Oreochromis niloticus: one gene and its partner. The protein of the gene in region 1 binds, or shares a complex with, the protein of each later gene. Links are inferred from orthologs where the notes say so. Each region holds a gene or a part of one and is shown in the gene's direction. Other genes may lie near its edges. The genes, in order: atp2b1a and nptnb.

Region 1 (12,656 bases):
TAAGAGCTGCTAAATATGATACTGCGCCTTTCCAGAAATTAGTGCTATGTATTGATTTTTGTTTTGATTGCTCCTGCCTTTAATGAGTTTGCTAAGCCAATGAGCTGCTAACCATAGCTCCTTCTTTACAAAAGTGAGTTGTATCTAAGTTGTCCAACTCAAGCTGTTGCTTAAAAATTATGGAAAATTCACTCTAGTCCCTGGAAAGTCTCAGACACACATACTGTATGTGTACTGCTTCTCTGTCCTTTGAAAGTCGAAGCAATAGCCTAACCTAGGACAAGGTGTGCACTTGTGTGTCCATCTGTAGTGTGTGTGCACAAATGCTAGGATTCCTGTGCACCAAGAAATTTAGGACCTAGTCTATAACCCTCCCTGTCCTGGTCCTTGTGCCTTTCCCAGAGGAAAAGCCCCCCCATGTGAAAGGGAAGAAATAGGGTGTAAAGGGCACCAAGTTCCCATTGGATCTCCTCCTCTGTGCCCCATCTGTGCCCAGTCAGTGCCACTCTGATTTGGACATTGCAAAAAGCTGTGTGTCATCTTAAGGAAACAAGCTCTTTCAATGCGCCCCTCTCTTGCTCTCTGCGCATTCAGTGGGTTAAGCAAAAAAATCTGATGTGGCCCTGTAATTAAGTTGCCATTAATTGTTTTGCCGGGTCCCTGGTGGCACTGCTCAGACTTTAGGGGAAGAGAAAAGCAGATTTGCTGATGAGCTCCACGCCTAGCTGAACAACTGAGCGCAGTAAAAACGATTCTTAATTACCGCCTGTTGCCACTAATTTACCCAAAGTCACCTCTGCCAGCATGTTAACTAGCCCTTGCTGTCTAGCTGTGCTTAAAAACTCGGGTTTGTTCCCTTTTTTGTTTAATTTATTTCTTATTTTGAGACTGAAACACACACAGTCAGTTTAATTCTGCAATATTTTTGTCCTGTATGTTTTGTTTTCCACTTGCGTTCCAGTGTTTTCCATGAGCACTGGAAAAGTCTAAATGTGGGCTCTCAGGTAGTTTGTGTGCCTTGGCGGTAATGGAATAAACACTATTTATATGCCCTACATTTTATGACATGTAAAATGTTCACTGGCCTGAATGAAACACGCTTTCTAGCTTGACCACTAGCTGGGCCAAATGTAAATACAGAAGATATCAACAGAAATCAGAGCATGGAAAGCATGCTCCCCCTCCCGCCCCCTCCCGCAACCACACCAACACACCCTTCTATGGCTCGCCATCACACGTTCAAGTTTATATGGTGATGGCATACTATAACCATACACAGACTCTTCCACTCACACAACCTAATTTTGCATTGGGTGGGTCGCTGTCCTTACAAAGTCTGGCCTCAATGGGCACTTGAGGTGAATTATTGTTTGCGAGTGGAAACTTGGCCAGATAATCTCAGTGCTGCTGGCTCAGGGCTGAGTAAGACCACTGTCTCCTTCCCTACGCACACACGGGGCACACACAGCTTTTGTTTTACCATCTCTATTTCCAGTTCACACTTATTTGCTGACTCTTCGCCTTTTACAATAGCTCCTTGTCTATGTACTTTTGCTCCATCTTTCTCTTCCTTTTCTATGACCTCTGCTTCTCCTCCTGCTCTCTCTCTCCACTACTCTTTTTCCCAGAAAACTCTGGCCTTTATCCCACAGGCCATTCACCTCTCTGTGGCCGTCCTTGCCAGTGCCATGCAGTAAATTCCTGGGGTAGCTGGAAACACAAACATGCACAAACCTAAGGCAAGCAGCTCAATCAAGACAGACCCCTCCATAGCACCACTTCACCTACCACCACCTTTCCTTTCTCAGTTTTCCTTCGCACAAGGGGTCTTTGTCAGTAAGACTGCTCCACAAGGTCTCTCTTTAGATCTTCTCTTCAGCATTTGTCTGCACCATAGGTATAATTCATGTGTCTGTGTCTCGGCTGTTTTGCCAGTCAGCAGAGTTTGAATGTTAATCTTATAATTGGGGTCTCCTTTAGCAGACATTAACCAATGTTTGGACTCAGGATTTCAGGAAAAATGTGATTACAGTGATTATGGCAGACTAATGATGTGTTAGATAAGAAAGGTTTGTTATTACCCGGTGCAACAGCCATCCCTAATATCAACTTTGTCTGATTAATATAGCTCTTGTCCGTTTTGAATAATGGGTCTAAGCAGTCTGTTACAGTGCAACCTTATAACACTAAAACCAACTTTATTTGACATATTAACATCATATAAAGTGAGATTTATGTATAAATGCTTAGAAAGTGGACTTCTGATTAATTTGCAATTGGAAAATTCTTACACGTCAGCATCTGTGATCGACAGTCTTTCTCTCAAGTATGGAACACTGTTTTTCCTCTTCCTCTTCAAAAGAAGGAAGTCACTCCCCACACCTCTATGTCTAACGCTTTGCCAATGTGCTGAGCCAGTGGAAAATGAGATGTCCGCTCAAGAAACAAAGTGGTGTAGATAGATTGGCTGACCAAAGGAAGCAATATTCATACAGCATGTCCTGACTGATAGGGACCCGGCTATGTACGTCTGCTAATGAGACATCTTCATGTTCACATTTTCCACTTGCCTCGCCTCAAGAGGCACATGATCTGCTGGTGCAACACAGGCATTTCCACCGCAGTCATGTGTTTATTTAGAAAAGTGTTTAGGAATTAACTGATAATCTTTCTGTGGCTTCTGTTTTCCATTCCCTTTGGCTTTTTTCTTTGTGCAAATGTCTTAATCAGTTCAGAGTCGTGTGTTGTCTGAAAATGTGATAAGCTGCAGAGTCGGCAACAACGTTCCTCGCACAACAGCAGACACATTCATACAGTGCCGGTTGCTAGACGCTTTTCAAACCGAACCTGCAATTATTTGTCAAGCTATCTTGTCTCATGGTGTGTAGAACAGTACCCCAGTAATTAAAGCTCTATGTTGGGATGAACGAATAATCACGCTTACCAAAGCTGTGTTGCTTAACTTTTTTGCCTCCCCTGACTATCCACCTCAATGCGACCATGTGTTTACCTTTAACCTAAATTATTAAATGAGGTTCTGTTTTGAGTATTTTTGCAACACATGCAAAAGTTACCCTGAAGGCAACATCCCCTTTTTGAGTGCATTTTGGCATGTTTCATCATTATTGCTTACTCAGACAGCATGAACAAGACATTAGCATGCACAAAGGCTAATGACACTTGACATTTACTGTAGTTCACGAGATGCTCCAGAGCATATGGCAAATTTCCACCAAGAAACTGAGTCAATAGAGAGATTCAGACAACAGCTGTGGGGAAAATGATTGGTCTCCTCAATTTGAAAACTCAACATGGCTCTCAGAGAGTCCCGCTATTTGCATAGATGCAATTTCCTTGAGTATTAAAAACCAGGAGGAGTTCTGCAGTGGTTTGGTTTCTGGCGTTCGTAGACACACACGTGGTCATTTCCACTCAATTTTCAGGGCTAAACAATTCACTTTTGCCATTAACAACCTGCATCTAGATTGTTTCCCATACAACTAAAAGGCCCTTGGTGCGAGTCTTCATCATATTGCTCACTTCTGTGGTCCATAAGTGTTTAAATGGATTGAAAGATTAAGTGGTTTCAAGTGAACAAGCACGGAGTGATGGTACGAGGCAGAATTCCAATTTATTTTCTGTCAGCTTTAGAAAAGACATTACAAACATCATTAACAGCTTAGAAAGAAATTGTTATCATGGAAAAAGCTTTGTTTTTTACTGATGTTTTGTAATGAATTCTAATGGTTTACAGTTAAAATATGCATGCATGCTTTATGTTCCATTATTCACAAAGGGTTGCCACAGCATGTAAGCTCTGTGTGTTTTATTTGGCTGATTTTTATGCCAGATGCCCTTCCAAAAGGATTTGTGTTTCCTCCCAGGATGAAACCGAAGATCTTTCTTGTGAAGTGAATATGTAAACCACTACACTCTATGTGCTGTGCTTATACACATTAAGGTTAACAGTGAAATGAAAGGTTCACAGTTGATTAGCACAAAAACAGGAAGCAGGAAGTAAAGAGCTGTCCCCTCTAAAGATTCTTTCATGCATTTTTGTACAAACTGAACAATATCTAAAACTTAATTTGTGATCTTTCAGATTCATTTGCTACCCCTGAAATGAGCCAGACTGAACAACATGAATAAAGATACCCCACTAAATCTTCAACTTTCCTCCAGAGCAGGCCAGCTGATCTACAGTCCTCATGTATTTTTGATGTTGATTGTAAAGATCCATTATGAATCTATATTTGCATTCCTACCATTACCTTAAGTGTGTCCTCTGGTTCAGATAAAGAAGAAGGGCTGATGCACAGACTGATGGACTGAAAAAGAGAGAAAGAGATGCCCTTGGGGGTCAGTGAATAACCTAACATCTGCTCTGGGTTGACCAACACAAAGCACTGCAGGCTGCCACTTAGGAAGCCACCAAAACCACTGACAGTGAACTGCAAAAATGGCAGACGTAAAAATAGATCTTGTCGCTGCTTTGGCACTATAGGGTTTAAAGGCCTGTGGAGCAAAGTCTGTGTGCCAAAGCTTGTTCAGATGAGGCCCGTGTTACTGCTGGGCGTACAGGGGAAAAAACATCAGCATCTAAGCACTGCTGCAGCTGCAGCTGCAGTTCTAAAGTTTTAGAGCAGAAACCTGACAGCTCACAATGTGCGAAGGGAGTGTGGGAGCTTCTGCAGCTTCTGCGAACAACGTTTTTTTGGGGTTTTTTTTTTTTGCCTATCTATGCATTTTGACTGATTGTTCCTCATTCTGCTTTAGACTGAGCCATTAAAGTCAAATCACAAAGACATAAGGCCAAATGATTGCACAAATCATCTTACATAAATCAAGTTGGGGTTTTTTTCCCCCTACTTCTTCTCTTCCTCTTTCTTTCCAAATCTCTTTTCTCCGCTTGACGTCTGTCTGACTCGGAAATTCTGAAATGATATTTTCCAACTTTTAATTTGCATACAAGCCTAAACACGTTGGACCTTTCTGAAGAGGCAGCTGCTGCCGTGCACTCAAGGCACTCGTGTTAATGATAAATCCCATTATGTCCAGACAGCAAGTGTATTACACTGAGTTTTGACCCTGGCCATGGTTATTTTCTGTTTATGATCTACCACAACTAATCTTTCTTTTTTTTCTATTTTTTTTTAATTGTCAAATAGCAGTTTCTCTACCTGACTTGGTTTGTGCAAAGTTCAGATGGATTTTGCAAGAACCACCTTGTCTAAATTCTGGATCACAGACTTTCTAATTCCAATTAACACCTTGCATTCTATGTTGCATAAAAAACATAAATTACAACATATTAGACAATTACAGGGGACTTGTGCTGCAATATATTGCAGTACCAAAACGCTGTTGAATTTCTGTCACATCGGTGTAATGGCTCACATTGGAATGCAGTGCTGTTTGCATTTCATTGACAGCTGCCCCCAGTAATAAGGAGGCTGATTGTGCAGAGTGTGTGACTCCCCGAGAGTACTAAAGGAATCGCAAAGAATACAGGCATTGAATCTGGTGAAGAGAGAGAGAAAAAAAACGCACTACGTCATGGAAAGAATAACGTCAGGTTTGATTAGGCGTCGAGGGGAAGAGCGTCGTGCAGCCTAGGTGGGGCTGAGTCGCCCGGACAGCAAAACCGATGCATTTTCGTTGCCTACTGTCTGCAGGCTGCATCATATGATGGGGGGGCTGTTGAATAATCCTGTTATTATAAAGCTACACGGGAGCAAAGAAGGAGTACTAGGGGATCATGACGTAACCGTTTCCATAGGCGACTGATATGCTGGCTAAGCCAATGGGAATCCACACCAGCGGTCCATACCCATCCTCCTTTTGACGTGCATCACATGTCCCCGGCGGTGTTGTGACAGAAATGAAAAAGGCGAGGCGAAATGGTTCAGCCCCGTGCACTTCCGCTATCGTCGAGTTCCACTTTTACAACGTTATCTTTTGGCCGGTTGTCTCTCACGATATGCCCGATATCGCTTCAGCTTGATTTTAGCATTTTAAAATCATAGAGAAGCAACAATACAGCTGTGAGACACGCACCTTTTATCGTGTTGCATTAAAAATCAAATAGGTGGTCTTGGTCTGCATCTCTTCTGTGATTAAACATAAAGAGATTATGTATATTCATCAGTCAGCCACGTGAGTTTCGGCAACATTATACCGCTTTTCCACCGCACGCATGTGTCATATGATTTCCGGTCAAACTGACATGGGTTTCCATGAGCTCGAGGGAGATAGGAACTATCTTGGCAGTGTGAGGTTTGCAGGCTTTGGTTGTGGTTGTGACAGCGCAGTGGGCGGGATTATACCTCAGATCAGGGGAGAGAGTCTAGTCTTTGGTGAGACTGAGGGGGAGTTAAAGAGAGAAAGGGAGCTGGGGTGCTCTTCAGAGGACGGAGTAAGTATTATTTTACTTATATTTTTCTCTATTAGCGCGGCAAAATGCCACACAATAATTGATCTTTCCAAGTGATTTTGGATGTTGCATGCAACCCCATAACCGGTTAAGGTCTTCTTTTTTTGTGTGCACTGATCAACGAGGGCCAACCACTGTGGGTCGCTTGCCTTGGGTAGTTAGCTGTATACCAAGCTAATGTTAGCTATCTTGGAGGGATACTGACATGGGGCGGTTCGTTTTCCAACACAGGTATCTAATCAGCCCGGGATGCTGCCAGATTTCATACGCTTGTGCTTAGTTTGCTTGGGACTTCTGCGTGGCTCATGGTTAAGTTTTTAGACTTGTCAGTCTGTTGGAAGTATCTTTTGTGAATTTCCCCTCTTTGCAGTCAGCATAAGCTAACGCATTAGTGCTAGTTGGCTAACCGTGTACGCTAGTCAGGACCGCTCTTATTTTTTAATAACATATCTGCTGGGCTGCACATTGACGTTTCGACTTGGTCGCTCCTCGCGGAGTCCCGCTGTTAAATAACACTTCAACTATGGACCTTCATATCTTTAAAAGAAAGTTGTCTGCATTGCATGTTACATGGTGATATGTCATTCAGCTTGTCTAACGCCTCGCAGTTCCCGTTTTATATGCAGATACATAACGTTAGTGGAGTAATACTACAAAACGGCCTGGAACTATATTCCGCGAGCGCTGGGAGTCCACGCGCTGCGGTTGCTCAACACACTCAACACGGGCAACTCGGGGAACCCATAAAACCGCATTAGTCATTTCGGCTCTCTGTCACCACAGTAAAGGTGTTTTGAATCGTCGTTTATTGACTAACATCATTTTTAGGGGCTGTCATTTGCTGGTGTCGAATTCTGTTGTCCAACACTTAATTTGTACCGTATTCTGAAGACAATAATTTGACCGCAACTAGTAGGGTTTTAATCTCAAGCCCCAATCTCCTAACCTCCTCGAAACAATTACGAGAAACCCATTTGAGCAAGTATGGCTGTTTACCACTCTTAAATGTCCCGGTATGGCAAAACTGTCAGGTTATTTCCGAACTAAGGCGGAAAAAAACTGCCACTTTTAGTCCGTAACGCTACTGAAAGAACAACGCTTATTTCATACTTGCACTGCAACAGAAACTCACAGACTGACTGCAGCTCGTCTCTTTAAATTACCTTCCACTTGCCCGTAATGTATCTCGTATTTCTTAGGGCTTCCAGGTACTGCAAGATGATTACGTACGTTAACGTTACACTCTTAATCTTGATTGACGACGTAATATAGATTGGTGCACTCAGACATTACCTGCAGTATCCAGGTCGATGTGGAGTGCAGCCACAGAGCACCTTTTGGTGTCTAGTTGAAGGGATCACTCCTTATCCAATTAAATAGCACCCAGCTTGCTGCAGCGCCAGCAGTGTCTTCCAGTGTTTGTATAATGACTTGTGATTCTACAGTGGATTGCAGGTATTATTGTAGTTGTATGAAAAGACGCTGAACTCGGTGACACAGAGCGTGCTAGTCACCTGGAGTAGTCATCTGTACTCTGGTCTTGTTAAATAATATAATGACAGATAAGCAATTACACGGATTTTATAATCACAATATCTTGCCGCACAATATTGTATTAGCTGCAATGACACTTGCTGTGATTCAGTTTGGAGATATGTTTGAATTTTCTAGCTAATACTGCATTAGAAGTCTATTTTCCAGGTTTAGCAGTGAGTAATGCTTCATCGTAACTGCCTAGCGCAGCATATAGAAATTGAGTTTGTTTAATGATTCACTTAAATCATCAGTAACACAATCTGTTGCTGTGTCTGAGCCCTTTGAACTCAGACTGTTGCTGTCACTCAAGAATGACAAAAATATCTTTTCTTATTCCTTGCTGTGCCACCCTTTTTTCTAATGGCTGATTATAGACATTACTCCTCTCCTTGAGTGACTAATATGAGTCAGTAGTTATTTGAATATTTTTTTTTTTTATTCTTTTGAAAAATTGTTATATTGCAGAGGGAAGATCACTTGACCTTTGTGGCTCATTAGTTCGTTTGTAGAAAATCAACCTTTCAAGACTACACCTCTACGTCCTTTTCAGCAGTGCATGTTTTTTTTTTTTTCTCATTTGCTGTGCTGAAGAATGTTGTTCTCACCAATCTTACATGGTCCTTGCTGCTGAGATAAGTGCTTATTTTCGAGTACTTACAAAGGTATAGCCACTGTGAAGTAATTCGTCATATCTGGTATACTTTCTTCCAGGCAGTTGTCGCCTGCCAAATCTGTTCCTAACTCATCATGGATGAGTTCCTCTTACAGCTGCTGGTTCACATGTTCACGTATTTCATTGTCATGCTCTGCACTGCAGACAACTACAAGCCCAACATTAAGAAAAATTACTAACAATTGTCCTTAGTGTACTCTGTAATTCTTCAAGTTTAATGTTTATAATTGCTAGTTTAAAGCATTATTTCACTGAGGTGACCACTGCAGGTCATTAATCTAAGGTGGCGTTAAGCCTCATGTAAACCAGCATGGAAAGCTAAATATAGTGTGGTTTTGAACCACGAAGTGTCATGTATTCATGGTAACATTTACCAATGATGGCATTTTACTTATCTTTCTTACTGTGTGTGGATTGTAAGGTCAAGATTATTTCAAGCAGGGGTTTTAGGTTACAGGGTCTTTTAGTCATTCATTACTACTCGTTCATTTAAATCTTGTCTAACTTGGCACGAGAAACAAATTACACAGGTGTGACTACCAGTTATATGCTTCAGTTTTTAGTTGCAGGAGATCAAATGTACTATAATTGAAGATTGGCAAAAGTTATTATATACTGGGATTGTGCCTAATTAAAATAATTGCAAGGCACGTGCTACAAAATAGCCCTGAAGACTGTCAGAAGGTCTAAATATGCTACCAGTCAGTCTGACGGACATTTATGTTTGTTTTGGCATCTCTACAACATGGTGGGCTCTGTGGCTTGACGTGGCAATGATTAAAGGGACATTTTTAAAGTGGGCTAGATGATTTAACTGTAATATTATTATTATTATTTGTTCATTTGAACTTCAGCGTCATTGAGCTTATATAATAGAAGCATACTTCCAGACCCCAGCTTCTCTCATCGTAAAGCATTGCTGGTTGTCTTGGATGTTATCACTTGTGGCATACAGTATACAGTCCTGCTCTGGTGTAATCTTCTCTACACATTCAAACTGCCATTGTAGCATGCTCTGAAAAATCTTGCAACATTAGTACAGTGGAGGAGGGCCAGTAATATCATATGGTGGAGGCAATAGGAGAGCAATTCCTGCCTAATCAAGTCAGAGCAGTGTATTCGTGGGAAACAATAGCTCCCTGAAAGACCACTTTGAGTTGATTTGTAATATTTTTGATTTGAATCAAATGAAATCATGTGGATCATGAAATCATTTGTCTGTTCCTCGAAGCTTCAAAACTTTCTTTCTAGTATACATTTTCACTTGGGCTATTTATTAACAGTTACAGCAAGTGGTTTCGTCATAATGAATGCAGAACACATGCATGACGTATTAAACCATAGCAATGCATTCTGTACTACAGGTTTGGGGTTTCTTCGGGGGGGGGGGGGTTGTGAAATATATAATCCACAAGTCAACAACTGTACATCCTAAAACTGAAATGATGGCAACAGCAATTTCAGACTGCAGCAGATAATGATGGGACAGCAGGACCCCAGGCCACCGATCTGGTCTGTGGAATCGCACATAACCAAGAACACAGAAAGCCTCTGATCTTCAAAGTGCCTCAATGAAAGATGCCTCATTTTGGAACATTTTGCATAGATGTGCATAGGATTGAAAAGCTCAATAAAATCATACCTCCTGGTTTGCATTAACATCTTTGACAGGAGGAAATTAGTAGAACAGAATAAAATTTTTATATTCATGTATAGTACCCCCCCCCCCCCCCCCCCCCCCCCCAATTTTTTTATTTCATTTTATTTTATTTTATTATTATTTTTTTAACAGTGGGGGGTAAGAATACAACTTTAACAACAGGATAGTCTTCCAGCACTCAAAAATACTCATGTGCTCAGTTTTACTTGTTTAAATGCCCAGCTCCCCCCTCATTTATGCATGTAAAAACAATTATTTTTGACATGCTCTATATAAGTTAATATAAACAGTTTTGAGGAACCGGTTAGTCTTCATGTGCCTAGATGGCCACTATGTACTAAATTTTATAACTTGTCTGTTCTGTTGTTATGTAAGAGGTTAAAACCCTGTCTATAGCAATGTGCTTCACCTGCATTGCTTTTGTAAGACAGCGTCAAACTATTTGTTGGTAAATTTAAGATATTACTGCGTGTGCATTTCAAATTCGTACTGCTTGTTGTATAGCAAATTCTTTTTGTTGGCACAAAGGTTCAAAAAGAAAAGTACAACCTGTTCCTTAAAAGGTTTGAAAAGTAAATGCTAAGCGTGAAAGTAAAACTTTAATTGCTTAAAAAGTGGTGAAAAGTCTTAACACTAATCAGATCTTTTGCCAACAGGTTTGTAAAATGATTGGATATAAAAACCCAGAGAGGCTTTTAGAAGTAAACACAGACAGGCGTTAAAATCATTGTAAAAGATTGCATTGGCAAATAGTTCATTGGTTTAAAATGAATATTTTTCAACATTCAGTTGCAAAAAAAAAAAAAAGATTTCATCATTTATGAAGCATAATACCATAAAAAGACTGAGAAATCTCTGTAGAAATCTCTGTATGCAACACACAGTCTTAAAACCAACACTGAACGGTGGTAAAATTTGTGACCTTGGGCAGTAGTGCCTTATAATTGTACACAGGTAAGGGACATTCACACCTCGGAATGAATCCACAAATGTTTAATTGAAACTCTACCAGGTGGGGGGTTAAAAAATGTGTATAGCCAAGGTGTAATGGGCTAAGGCAAAACAGAAATCTGTGCTGTGGTATGATAAATGAAAATGTTAAATTATTTTTGGAAATATTGACATTTTTACCTTTCAGAATAAAGAAGAGGGCACAGACTGGCTTGTTATCAGTACAAAGTTTTACATACTGCACCAGAATTTTGGGGTTTTGTTTTTTTTGGGGGAAACCATGTTGTCCCAAAAAAACAATTTACATCTGCTTACCTACAAGACAGAACACATGAAGAAAAAAAATGTACAAAGACTATATTTATTAATATTAGAGCACAAATAAACATTTTTAAAATAACGCGGTAGTTTTAAAGTGCCCATAAATTGATCTATAAATATAATATGATAGACAGTGACTACATATATAAAGATTTTATTCCTATTTATCCAGCATCCTTAGTTCTTGGAGGAAAAGATGATGGTTTACTTTCATTTCAAATGCTGTTGCGTGTCCTTCCATACATGCAGTAAAAGGAGCTGGAGAGGAAAAGCGTGTTGACGGTGATATCTCTGACTGTGCGTTCTCATGAACTGGCAGCCTGACAGCGTTTGAGAGCTATGTAGAGGTTCCAGTCGGTGGGATGAAGTAGCACTCTCAGCTGCAAGCCACGCAGCACAAGGATGGCTGGGTGTCTCTGCTTTGTACCCTCCACATTTACATGGCCTGACCCAGTTCGGCAATGGCTAGCAGTGGGGGGAGGGGACAGTGTAGGGGAAGCTAAAAATATCACCTCTCGCATTAGGCAGCTCCATTGCAGAGGGATCCCTAGAATTGCTATCTTTGACTTGCATCAAGTTGTTGGCACATAAAGGTATTCAAATTGCCAGAGGGTTTCCTTAACATGGAAACAAAGACATAAGTATATTTATGACACATCCATCACCATTATCCTGTCTACTTGTTCTCACTTGCTGCAGCCTTCTTTGTAGGGGATTCATTGTGACTGTAGTTTTGAATAGCCTTGTGATGTGCAGGTCTGTAATTCTTGGGTTAAACCAGCACACATCCACCCTGAGTTATCGGTCTGCTACTGTAGCTTGGAAAGGGTTAACTCTGGCCTCTGTCATTCAGCCATACCATGCCAGCTGTTGGCTTGGAGATCCAATCACAATCATTTTCCACTGTTGTAACATGTGAGCTGCACTGCAACCCTAAACTGACCCAGGGCAGCAAATGTTGGCACTTCCTTCATCTTGGCATTGTTGCTGCATGTTGGGTTAGGGGGTGTGAATGTTATAGTAAGACATGGGGTGGGGGGGTGCAGTGAATTACACTGAAAATTATAGGCTTGTCTTGAGTA
Region 2 (12,505 bases), on another chromosome or scaffold:
AAGTTGTTCTATGAATTTGAATTACAAAATTGCAATAAAACAAAAGCTTTTTGCACCCTGAATGTGTTATCGTGTATGTTCCTCTGTAGCATTAAACATCTGTAGCCCTTCAGTTTTGAAAACAAGGTTTTTCTTATTCAGTCTTAGTTTGGTAACCGATGGGCATACGACAAACATCACGTACTACTTTAAATCCCCTTTGTACTTTCTTATCACCTGTGCTTAGAAGAGCATGATACTGCAGTACCAAAGTCCTGCTTAGGTTTAAAACTCTAATGGTTGGTGTATGTTGGTCTCTCGGGCAAAACTGAATGTGAAATTACAAAGTCTGCTAAAAAGGTAACAATATATTTTTACCTACCTTTACAAAAACCTAATAGCTTTTGGGACTGGTAGTTATATGTATTTTCAAGTTAATTGTTAATTGGTCCTCAGATGTTCTTCCTGTGGTTTGAATTCTCTTCAGGGACACAGGTTACTTAACTTAATAGCTTATATGCTAAAAACCTAAGTTACTTTATAGACTTCACAGGCTACTTGAAAACACTGAAAGTTTGATTTTACAGCTTATTATTCTTTACATTTTTTGTATTAAACTGATTGGAGAAGGCTGCACATACTACAGCAAACACACAGTTATAAAGCTTATTGACACAAAATGAAAATAAAATTTTTAACACTACTTGTATTGAAAAGTAATTGTTTAATAAAAAAGAAGATTATAATGAGCTTTCTTCCAACCTTTAGAATTAAAATGCACTGGACCTGCATTCTGATCAGTTTCTGCTGGCTCTGCCCAACGTTGGTTCATGCTGGGAAAGTGCTTGTTTTTCCAGTGGATGGGAGCCACTGGGTAAATATGAATGTCATTATTCAGCAACTACATCTAAGGGGCCACCAGGTTTCTGTTGTGCGTTCAACAGACAGCTGGTACATCAAGGAATCCTCCCCATTCTATACTTCAATTACGCTCGATATGGAATCAGGGTTTGATGAAGACTTTTTAACAGCATTTATTGCGGAACTGTTGGACATCCAGAGGGGAGGGATGTCTGTCTGGAAACGCTTTAAACTGGAAATGGAACAAGCAAAAAAAGCCTCTGAAATGCAAAAGAAACAAAGCAAATTGATTGAAGGGCTTTTTGAAAACAAAGAGCTCATACAGTCACTAAAGGATGCAGAATATGATCTTGTTCTGACAGATCCTACCACACCAACAGGTGCCATACTTGCCCAATACCTCAAGTTGCCTCTTGTTTTTAATGTTAGATGGACTAGTCAGGGTGAAGGCCATTTTTCAATTGCACCATCTCCTCTCTCTTATGTTCCCATGGTAGGGACTGAGCTATCTGATAAAATGAGCTTTTTTGAGAGGCTGCTAAATGTCCTAATTTTTGGTTTCGCAGAATATCAGATTGCCCAGTATTTGCTACCACATTATGAGAACCTCATTGAAAAATATTTTGGTCCAGACACAGACTACTTCTCCATGTTTCAAGCTGACCTGTGGCTAATGAGAGTGGATTTTGTGTTCGAGTTTCCTCGCCCCACCATGCCTAATGTTATCTATATGGGAGGGTTCCAGTGCAAACCAGCAAAACCGCTTCCACAACATTTGGAGGACTTTGTGCAGAGTTCTGGAGAACATGGTGTGATCCTCATGTCTCTGGGAACTTTGATTGGAGAACTACCCCCTGACTTAGCTGAAGCGATCGCTGCAGCTTTTGCAAAATTACCCCAGAAAGTCATTTGGCGGTATAAAGGTGACAGGCCAGGCACTCTGGGTAACAACACTTTGCTGGTGGACTGGATGCTACAGAGTGACCTATTAGGGCATCCTAAAATAAAACTTTTTGTGGCTCATGGGGGAACAAATGGTGTTCAAGAAGCTATTTATCATGGAGTCCCTATTTTAGGACTTCCTCTGGTTTTTGATCAACATGATAATTTATTTCGAATCAAAGAAAGAGGAGCAGGGAAAGTCATAGATGTTTTTACTATGAATGAAGACATTTTCTTTCAAGGTATTATGGAAGTCCTGAATGATCCCTCCTACAGGATGAACATGCAGAGACTTTCCAGGCTGCACAGAGATCAGCCAATAAAGCCACTGGACAATGCCCTCTTCTGGATAGAGTTCGTCATGAGACACAAAGGTGCAGCTCACTTAAGAACTGAATCCTACAAACTGCCCTGGTATTCCTACCACTCTGTAGATGTGATACTTTTCTTAGCTGCAGTTGTGCTGGTTATTCTGGGCACCTTTGCTGTCTTAATAAAACGCCTATGCTCTATGTGCCCGAGGACAAAGCGTCAACGTGATTAAAAAGAAATAAAATGGCAATTAATGTAAAACTTTAAACACGTAAATCATAAAATGTTGTATTGTCTTGTGGTACTGTGATTTGATGGGGAAAAGAAAAAGAAGATACAAATAATTAATTCTTTTAAAATTGTGCATTTTATTAGTAAAGAAATAACATAGTTAAGGCTGACCATATTTGATTAAGTGTATTTCACAGTACTTTAAATTATATCCTGTCAGTATATTTCAGTGTCTTTTAGAATTTATAGCACTTTGATATACTGTACTGTATGTAAAGTCAAACTAGTCTATATGGATTTTACTTTAACCCTTAAGTGAAACAAACAATACAGTTGTTGTCACTGTAGAATGAAAGAAAAGTGTGACCAAAGCATATTTGTACTGTTCATTAATTTCTGTGCTGTGGAGAATCTGCTCTCATTTTCATCTAATCATCTGGCTTTACGAGTTTAGTGACTCCATGTGACTTCACTGTTCAGCTATCTTTGAAAGGTTCTCTTAATTGCAATGTTTTTCCCTGCTGCGGTCTGGAATCCTATGCACACTATAACTATTACTAAAGGGAATATCTGGAAATTCACGCATGCATCCATTTTCTGAACATGGATGCATGTTAAGAAAATCATCACTTCAAGTTCAAGGGATGTTGGAGCCTATCCTAGTTTACATATTGTGAAGGCAGGGTACACCCTTGACAAGTCACCAGCCCATCATAGGGTAAGCGCTTAGAGACAAACAACCTTGCAATCACATCTATTGCCAATTTAATCACCAATTAACCTAACAAGCATGACTTTGGATCATGGGAGGAAGCTGCACCTAGAGGAAGCCCACACAGGCTCAGAGGAGAACATGCAAACTATGCACAGAAAGGCCCCAGTGAACCAGAAAAGTTCTTGCAGTACTAACCAGTGCATTACTGCACTGCCCTGGTAGGTGAGGTTTCATAACAAACAGCTATACCACTTGCCATTTTATCACTGAAATTACTAGAAGTTACAAACCATTCATCCTGTGTAAGCCAAATTTACCACTCGTTTCAACAAAAATAAGACAGAAAGAAATGAAGTAGTTTGAGATTCCTAGTTGTGGGACTACATTAGTTGGCCAATGAATATGACATCCTGCTGTGTCTAAGAGTGAGGGGAGTGGATTAGATAAAGCCAACAACGTCCTCAGGGCCAAACGGGAAGTTTTGAATAAGCCATCCCTCAGGATGAACATGTTACATTTTCAACACTTAATAGGTTTAAGTGCCACTTGGGGAACATTTTAAAGTGAAAGAAAATACAATTCAGAGCTAAACTACTGCTATTACCATCAGCTTTGTGAGACCCGGTAAAGATCTTCACGCTGCAGAGGTGCACCAGTCTTTAGGATAGCAATTTTCCAATTGCTTAATTATTCATTAAATTTGACTAAAGTCCTAAAGAGTAATTTTACAAGAGCATTTTTTAATTCAAATAATATATTTTATCTAGCACTACATAATTTGTGTAACGCAAGCTCGAGAGATGCTACGTTTTGTTTTCAAGAGCCGATCAAACTGAAAGACAACTCAAATTCTCAAGACCGCAGGTTTATAAGGGCTATGACAAATGACCATATAGAGTATTTTACTTCAATAAATAAATTTTTTATTACAAAAAGATTAAAAAACATACAGAAAGTATTGTTATAGAAAGAATGTCAATGGTAAACAGGTGAAACATTAAGAATTTCACTTAAGTCTGAATTTTTACTGTTACCAAAAAGTAAACATAACGGGGGTCTAACATCTTTGGCTACAGGAGGGAAAACAAGAAGTGAAGTTTCAGTTTAGAGAAGTGAAATTTTCACATTCTTCTTTTAGCAATCACACATTAAAAAAACAATAGTACAAGTCAACTAATATTAGTCGGATCAATATTAGCTGCCTGGTGGATTTCACTTGTGTCAAGATAAAAACACAAACAAAAAAAATTAAAAAACTTGATTACATGACAAAGTGAAATATCACTTTTAAGGGCAAAAACAAACATGCTAAAAATTAAATGCACATATGTGTGCAGTAAAATAATACTGGGGTTAAGAGCTAGTTAGCTAAGGACAAAAATTCAAAAAACAAAGAGATGTTTTACTGAAAGTAATGGTGCTTAACAGTTTCTCTTCTTGCTGGCTCCTGCCTTGTGCTGCTTGTCATGAAGTAGTCTAATAAAAAAGATGAATCAGCTGAATTGGCGATCGATGTACTAATCCATTACTTTATGTAGCTTTCACAGACAAGACACGAAAAGAGAACCATATTTCTCAAAACACACCACAAAGTTTAGGTAAAACAAACAAACAAAAAACCCTCACATTACATTACAGGACAATAAGAGTTTTCACTAATATTGATATTATATGCATATTTATGAGGCTTCATTTGGCAGCATCAGTGGCTATTCAAAAGGCACTGTATATCCCGCTTCCATGAGGAAAATACTCAAATGGTACATCAGTTACAAAAACTTATAGTAAATGTCTGTTCCAAGTATTTACAAGTATCCGTGCCAGCAGGGCAGGTGTGGTGGGCGGTGTGTGTCCCCTCAAGATGTCCGGGTCCTTAGAGAGCTCATCCTGAGCACAGTGAGCTCAGCTACATTTGCATCCTGCATCTCCACCTCTTGTTGGCAGCTTTCTCTGATTACATACACTATGAGACCCACACAGATGAAAATGAGGAGGACTATGCCTATAACCTAGGGTACAGAGGAGCACCACTTTGTTTAGTAAATATCAACATAAAAGGCATCATGTTGGTCAATAATGTCTATTAACAGAGCTATAAAATTTTTCACAGATGTAACAGCAATGAATATGTTCTATAGAGTGCATACTCAGAGATAAGTGCTTTCATTGTGTTCATCATACACAGTGGTTTATTAACAAAAAAGTAATCTACTCACCTGAGAAAACACAAACAGCTGTTGTGAGCGGAGCATTAGTTCTTGTGTGGTGACATCTCCCTCTCTAATTGGCTCACACCATTTCTGTGGAGCTGCCTTGTCAACTAGTACAAATCTACCCTCCCAGTCTGTCATAGCACAAGCAAAGTATTGGCCATCGAGGAACAATAAAATCAGCCACACGATAGCGGGAACAAAACTGGAGAGGGACACAGTTTTCCTGCACCACATATCACATCTGCATCCTTGAATGATTAGCATCAAAGTGAAGGCCATGACGGCAGGAATGATGAAGAATGCTGATGAAAACAATCCGTTCCATTTAGGACTGCAAGGACACTCAAACTCCAGCTCCACCAGCTTCTCTAGTCCCATGAGGATAAAGCCAAAAGCCACATTTGATACCAGAGGACTGTTACTAAGTTCATTTTTCAGCCTGGTAAGCCATTGTTGTCTACTTTCCATACTAGATTGACCAAAGAATGAAGACAGTCGTTGTAAAAAACCCAAAAGAGGATCCTCCGTTGTGAACACATTGGCAACAGCTAAGTGATGCGTAATTAACGCATCCAGGGGTAAGTTTTCCCCTCGGGCAAAATGCCACACTTCCACTCTGATTGGTTTTGAACAAAAGAGGGTGTGCCGTCTGCTCTGACATTTCTCTAGCTGATTGGGCTTTGTGAAGTTTCAGGTGGGGTTACTTTTTAAATGTGGTCTTCCATGGACAAACTGGAGGGAGGGCTGTAAAGTGGAGGGAAGTTTGTTCTGCAATTGAGCAAAGATTGGCATTTTCCAGCAAAAAACACATGTAGGGGTAGCCATATATCCAAAGGCAGGCTTTTACATTGAAGAATCAACTTGCAATCCCCAATTCACACTGCAACAAAACTAAAAGGAAGGGATTTCAAAATGAAAATCATAATCATCTAAAAAAAGGACACATAATTTACCACACATAGCTACAGTTGTTAATGCTTGAAGTACTCAAGCGTTTCCCCCATTTGCTACAAGTGTTTGGAATTACAAAAATGGATGCAAGTTGACACTTTTCTCTTTACCTCTACTGACCACGGGAGGTCGCCCATGCAGCGGGACAGCGCAGATTAAGGATAGAAGAGGATTACAGGAGGCCATGTTGAACTTTCAAGGGGATGTGGTACATACAGCTCCAGAGCACCCAGGCTAGGGATGTGATGACATAATTTATAAATGACCTCAGTGGGCTCAAGAGCATCACCATAATCTCCTCACGTTAAAACCTGACAGTATTTAGGCGCAATGAATAAAGGTCAGGAAAAACACCACTGATGAAAACTAAATTGCTTTCAGCTGATCTTCATATACAACTCAACTTATTTATAAAAAATTAATCATTCATACTCGTGTTATGGCAAGCACTTGACTACTGACCTGCCACTTTATAGGAGACGTTAATTTTGAAAGAGTTGTGGAACGGAGTTAGGGAATCATTTAGATTCAGACTGTAAAACAGTTATAGAAATAACTCTGAGAGGGACAAACATCCATTTCTAATGAGACACTATGAACATGAGCACCTGTCATCTCATAGAAATAATAATAATAATAGTAATGAACTGTAATGCCTAAAGAGGCACGTAATTACTGTCTGAGTTGCCAACACCATCAATTAGCTACATAGGATGTGATTTTGTGTATTCGTTCACGGTCATAAGCGCACTGGGCACGCGCAGCCTGTCGTTACTGCCGTCGGTGTCCTACCAGCATCTGTTCCTCTTTTGGTATTAAAAATAGACCGGTGCTGATAACAGACTTATGTTTCGACTGCATCATTTGCCGTCGGGAATCTTTTGTGCGCTACTTTCATTTTAATCACCGAGCCGTGACCGCGAGAGCGCAAATGCGCATCGGTCTGCGCATCTTTGAATCTTCAGAACCACACTGTGGACAATCTCCCTGACATCCAAAGACCTGTCCCCCGCAATCCTACGAGGCTTCTTCGCCGTTTATGGCCGCACATCGGCATCCCTGAGCCGCCGGCCTCGTTCCGGACTTTTCACTCATCGCTGCTCTCAAAAGCTCTCAGAATCAGGGAGACATTTCTACACCAAATTGAAACCTTCCTCGGCTGGCTATTTTTAAAGAACCCGGTGCAATGCTGGGCCCGTCTCTCTAGATCTTGTGATCACTAGCCTGCACGATCTCTCCTCCCACATTCGTCCGATCAAGACCCCGGTACTCTGATCGAGCCCCAACAATGCATCGTAACGCAGTGATGCTGGCGGTGGTCCTTTTGGGGAACTTGATGCTACCTTTCATCTCTGCTCAAAACGGTAAGCAAACAGCTGTGACCATGACATTACTGTTACCATCGCATTGAGGGAAAGTGACTTGGCTTGTGTGAGGACGCGGAGGGAATTGTTTCTGAAGAGGATTTTGAGACCGCGTTAAAGCCATAGTTTCACACCAAGACTGCAATTAGACAGTAACATATATAATTTACTTACTGCCCACGTTAGCAAATACAAACACGACTGTGTTGACTGCATTGACTTTTCTACAGTGTTATTTATTGCTGTATTGAGTTTTGTTGGCGTGTTTGTAGGATTTAATTTACTGTCGCAGATTATGCTGTGGAACACTACCATTTTTTTTTTTTTTTACTAAAGTCTAAGATTTACAGTTTACCTTCACTACCCACATGAGATAGTAACCTAAAGCTGTCAGTGTTAAGTTTGTTTAGTCAAAGGAGGGGGGCGGGGGGGGGGTGTAGTAAGAGTATGTCAGGCAAGACTAACCTGCTTTGGATGCTGATCAAGTGACATTGTCAGCAGCAAACACGGGCAAAAGATTCACCTGATGTGTCTTGTAAACACTGCAAATACCAGGCCCTTCAGTGTCAAAGATGTGACTGAGCTTCTGCTTGACTGAAACTGTTCTGTGTTGTTCCACATTTTTTTTGCCATGCCAGCATAAATGATCATTTCTTGCGCAAATAATTCTGTCTGTGGGAAATTCTATAGTAAAACAAATAACAGTCCCTTTTTTTAAACATCAGATCTCCTACCAGATAGCCACAGTAAAAATAAATAAATAAAAGTATTTGGCTGATAAGTATCATTTATGAAGAGATGAAAGGATACTTATTTGGCAGTTTAAAAAAAAAATCAGTGTCTGTTAATCATAATAAAACTAGCATGACTTGGTTTAAACAAATGTCAGCAACATGCTGTTGGGTGTTCCAGGCTGTCGTCCTCTGATGCAGCATGTCCTGACTCCAAATTCTGTTGAATCACATCACCCAGAGGGTCTCACATATCAGCAGCCATTCATGAAATCAAAGTGGAATCTTCTGAGTCTTTATATTTTTAATGTTTAAGTATTTCTTTAGTAAGCGTGATTATGAAGACAGCAGTAAGATGATATACTTCTGGAAACAAAGTGTTTAATCTCATAACTGATTCTTTTACAAATCTGATGTAGCCACATGTCAGAACCCACGTGCTCACAAACGAGTGACACTTAATCTGCTATCACAGAAAACTGTGGCAGAGAATTATGATGCATACTCATAATTTTAATGCTTAGTGTCCACCTCGGCTTTGCTGCGGGGGATAATCGAACACCCACTATGCAAGAATTAATATAACATGTGTTTAGATGGTTGTTTGAGAACACTGTGAAAATTCCAGCTCTGTGGTTGCTAATTTTGCAAGTACTTCAGATCGAACGTTTTCAACATTAGCTTAGTCTAATCAACATGGGAATAACAGCTTGCACTAGTTTTATATAATACAAACAACAAAAATGCTAAAATAAATAAAGCGCCGCAACAAAAATCTTGATAGTTTAAAAAAGTGCAAAAACAACCTATGTTTATTTAGCTTGGGGCAGACAGGAGACTCAAATACCAACATAGTTATATTACAAAATTATTACTTGAATTCTTGTGTTTCTTCATTGTTAATTTCTTTGAAGTGCCTGAAGTGTGTGTGCATACTGTGAGGCATTCTCTCATCTTGCTATCTGGAAAATCAAATACACAATAATCCCTCTATTGTTTGACAAAGCTCAAGTAATGGCTTTCCAGACACTTCCTCTGGTCTCTGCCCAGTTTTATTGCCCACTCACTGAGGTCCAGTTCACACTACAGAAACACTCACACACACAATAACATCCAGTGGTCAGTGAGAGGCAGAGCTATGCCACTCAGGCTGTCTGTTTCATCTGTATTATGTAGAAATCACAGGTTTGGTAAGAGCAGTGATAAACTACTGTTAATACCAAAGGTAATATTTGCTCACATTGCATGCAAAAGCCATTTAATTTCTCTCACACAGTTCAGATTTAGGGTAATCGGTGCATGGCTTCTTATGCAATCCGAAATTTTCCTGTGATATTACAGAGTTCAGACAGTGATGTGGGGACAATAATAATTATAAGTGCATGAGATGTAATCACTGTATCTAGGAAGCAGAGGGAATTCAAGTCATTTCCACATTCCCTGGGAAAAGTAGGCCCATATAGGTGCACAGTTTCTGTGACAGAAATTTGGAGGGACTGTAAATAGCATCCGTCCATTCTGCCTCGTTTCTATTTTTACCACCGAGACACAGCACTGAGAACTGTGGCTTTAAGGTCCTTTTGTGAAAGTGAATCCATTAACTCTTAATGGATGGCCTCCTTGTGCACAGCTGCCCGGCCCTCTAAAGAATCACTAGGTGGCTGTGGACTATTTAAGCTGAGAGATGATGTGATCTTGATGCAAAGAAGGTACTGGCTGTTGAGAAGGTAACTAGAGCTGACCTAAGGAAATGCCTTTGCCTCTTACATAATTTCCCCCTACGAATCACGCAGCCTACTCTTTTTTTTTTTGTTTTTGCATCATCTGTGTTTGCATGAATCAAAACGTGGAGAAGGCATACTAAGATATTTTAAATAATGAGCTGATATTATTACTTACATGTTCAAATGTAACCACTGTTGTCTGTCATTGAGGGGCTCAGTTAAGACTGAGCATATATGGCATCGAAGATGGCTTCTTCTTTGGGGTTTACTATCTACGTACAAAGATAGGAAAGCTGACAAGCCACACCTAAATGCATTCCAACATGTAAGCAACAACCCCCTCAAAAAATGTAATAATAGTTTTCTTTGTCAATAAGTGACCTTCTTTTTCTGCTTTATGTCATTTAGGCATTATCTTCATCTGAAGCAAACAAAGCATTTTAAGATGGTTCATTTGTGAGTCTGGAATATATGCTGTGGGACCGAAGCCAAACTCGTACACTGAGTCATGCCTGCCCACTGTGAAATCTGATATGGCCTGTACTGATTAGGAGCACCATTGCACTTTATTAAACACATTGCAGGCATACAAAATAATGATGCACATCTGTAACACACACTGTGATTTATATATATATATATATATATATATATATATATATATATATATATATATATAAACAAACCTATATATATTTTACAGTGATTTGTCTTCAGGATGTTTTTGCTGAGCAAACACATTGCTTTTTGTTTTGTTTTGTTTTTTTTAGTACCACCCTGCTGTGCATTCAGATTCACTCCTGGAATTTCTGCAGTTTAGCTTCTGGCCTCTGATACTTACTGTTCTCATAGCTGGGAACAACCTCAGCTATGAGTGCTGCACAAGGACTCAGGGTCAGAGAGAATATTCAATTAGGATGTTACTTTGATTTATGTGGAGCCAAAATTTCTAATGGGCATGTGTTTTTCAAGTGATATAGCACAACAGAAAGCCTATTAGCTGATTTTCAGCTCACATTTATCATGACAGTAACAAAAATAATGATAAAAATAACTAATAGTTCTAACTAAAAGTACAGTAGGAGACTTGGGAATAGCATTTGTCACCTTGTGTGGTAGACAGTACTTTGAGCACACTAGTGTAGTTCTTATTTCTGGAATTATTGTATTGTTACATCAAATAATTTGAATTCCCTTGCTTTCACTTTTGAGCAGAAGTAGGAAGTGTTTAGTGGTTTTATGGGATTAAAGAATTTTTACCCCCACACAAGGTTTATTGGGATTTAAATCTCATTAAACTGTTGCCTCTCGTCTGTGATCTCAATATCAGATTCAAGTCTTACCAGTAGAACTGAAATGGTGAGCCTCAGGCCTCCCTTTTCTGAAAACTTAGCTTGCAAGTTTTAATTACAATTATATGTGAGTCGGAAAACATGTATTCTATAACTTGTATACTTTTTACTCAGAAATATGTGAACACTGAAAGAATTTTATTAGCATTTATACATCTTTTTATTCCAGATGTTAGTACTGACCCTCTAGTAGTTATATACATTTCATGCATATATTCATTTTGGCATATATTAATATTTTAGAGACTCTGAACCTTTAGTGAAGTGGTTTTAAGAGTAATTCTGTTTACTATACTGAGGGTTAATTAAAGTTTTAATGACCTCAGTGAAAAATACATTCATAAAACCGATCCCATATGTGTGTGGAGTCCTCAAATGTAAAGACACTGTTGCTGATCTAGGCATATGGATCTTATGCAATATCATGAGTCCATCTGCTAAGCTGTTATTAATGTTGTATCTACAGCAGTCAAGAATAGCCTCTGTGCTGCAAATGTTAGTACCAGGGGATACTATCATTATCAGCTTTTAAAATAAAACAGACTACAAGGCATTTCTTTGCTCCACTGAACTTAGTTGAAGTGTTGAAATATGCACCAACGTGAACTGATGACTTAATTTCAATTGGGGCATGAATGGGATACTTCCCATTTGCCTTGTTAAATGATTTATTCTAAATAGTAACTTTATCTAAATATGCACAAACTTGTATTTGATTTTTTTTAAAATATATTTCTCCATTGCTTATGCTCCATGTTGCGTCCTGCACTTTATTTTAGCTCTGCATTTTACAAAATAGTTTTTTCATTCATCCTACTAGATACCCAAAGCACATAGAAGCTCTTACTTAAGCCTAATCTGATGATCTCTGATGATTGCCTACAGAATTTGCTTGACAAATAGATTCCTGATCTTCCTCACTTGTTTTGTGGCACCTGTGAGGGCAGAACATGTTACAGTTTTATGATTATTTTTGATATTTGGAGATTGGTGACCTTAGTTCACTCCGAGGACGGCTAAGCCTCAATTCACCCTGAAATGATATCTAAATTTTCTTTAACAACTGGTGTATAGATGATATATTCACACAGTTTTTTAAAATTAAAAAGTGAAAATCAAAATAAGTTATA

What was found.
Region 2: the proteins of atp2b1a (region 1) and nptnb are in contact, whole or in part, in a cryo-EM structure (PDB 6A69), measured with the Homo sapiens proteins. The link is inferred for Oreochromis niloticus from reciprocal best matches to the Homo sapiens genes ATP2B1 and NPTN. Residues at the interface, in NP_001353449.1 of Homo sapiens: Phe954, Asp955, Ile956, Asp957, Glu996, Arg997, Asn998, Val999, Glu1039, Gln1040, Leu1042, Trp1043, Ile1045, Phe1046, Met1049, Gly1050, Leu1052, Leu1053, Gln1056; in NP_036560.1 of Homo sapiens: Arg245, Ser246, Asn248, Arg332, Arg334, Pro339, Pro342, Phe343, Gly345, Ile346, Glu349, Ile350, Ile352, Leu353, Ile356, Ile357, Tyr360.

Annotation. Positions count from the first base shown.
Region 1 is NC_031981.2:11,775,732-11,788,387, reverse strand, and holds the start of atp2b1a (plasma membrane calcium-transporting ATPase 1), read left to right. Parts: upstream 1-6,257; 5' UTR 6,258-6,415; intron 6,416-12,656. UniProt on the Homo sapiens protein: Catalyzes the hydrolysis of ATP coupled with the transport of calcium from the cytoplasm to the extracellular space thereby maintaining intracellular calcium homeostasis.
Region 2 is NC_031965.2:29,766,959-29,779,463, forward strand, and holds the start of nptnb (neuroplastin), read left to right. Parts: upstream 1-7,027; 5' UTR 7,028-7,492; coding exon 7,493-7,568; intron 7,569-12,505. Other genes in the region: UDP-glucuronosyltransferase 2B17, read left to right, coding at 287-339, 748-2,326; calcium homeostasis modulator protein 6, read right to left, coding at 4,897-5,049, 5,257-5,721. UniProt on the Homo sapiens protein: Probable homophilic and heterophilic cell adhesion molecule involved in long term potentiation at hippocampal excitatory synapses through activation of p38MAPK. May also regulate neurite outgrowth by activating the FGFR1 signaling pathway.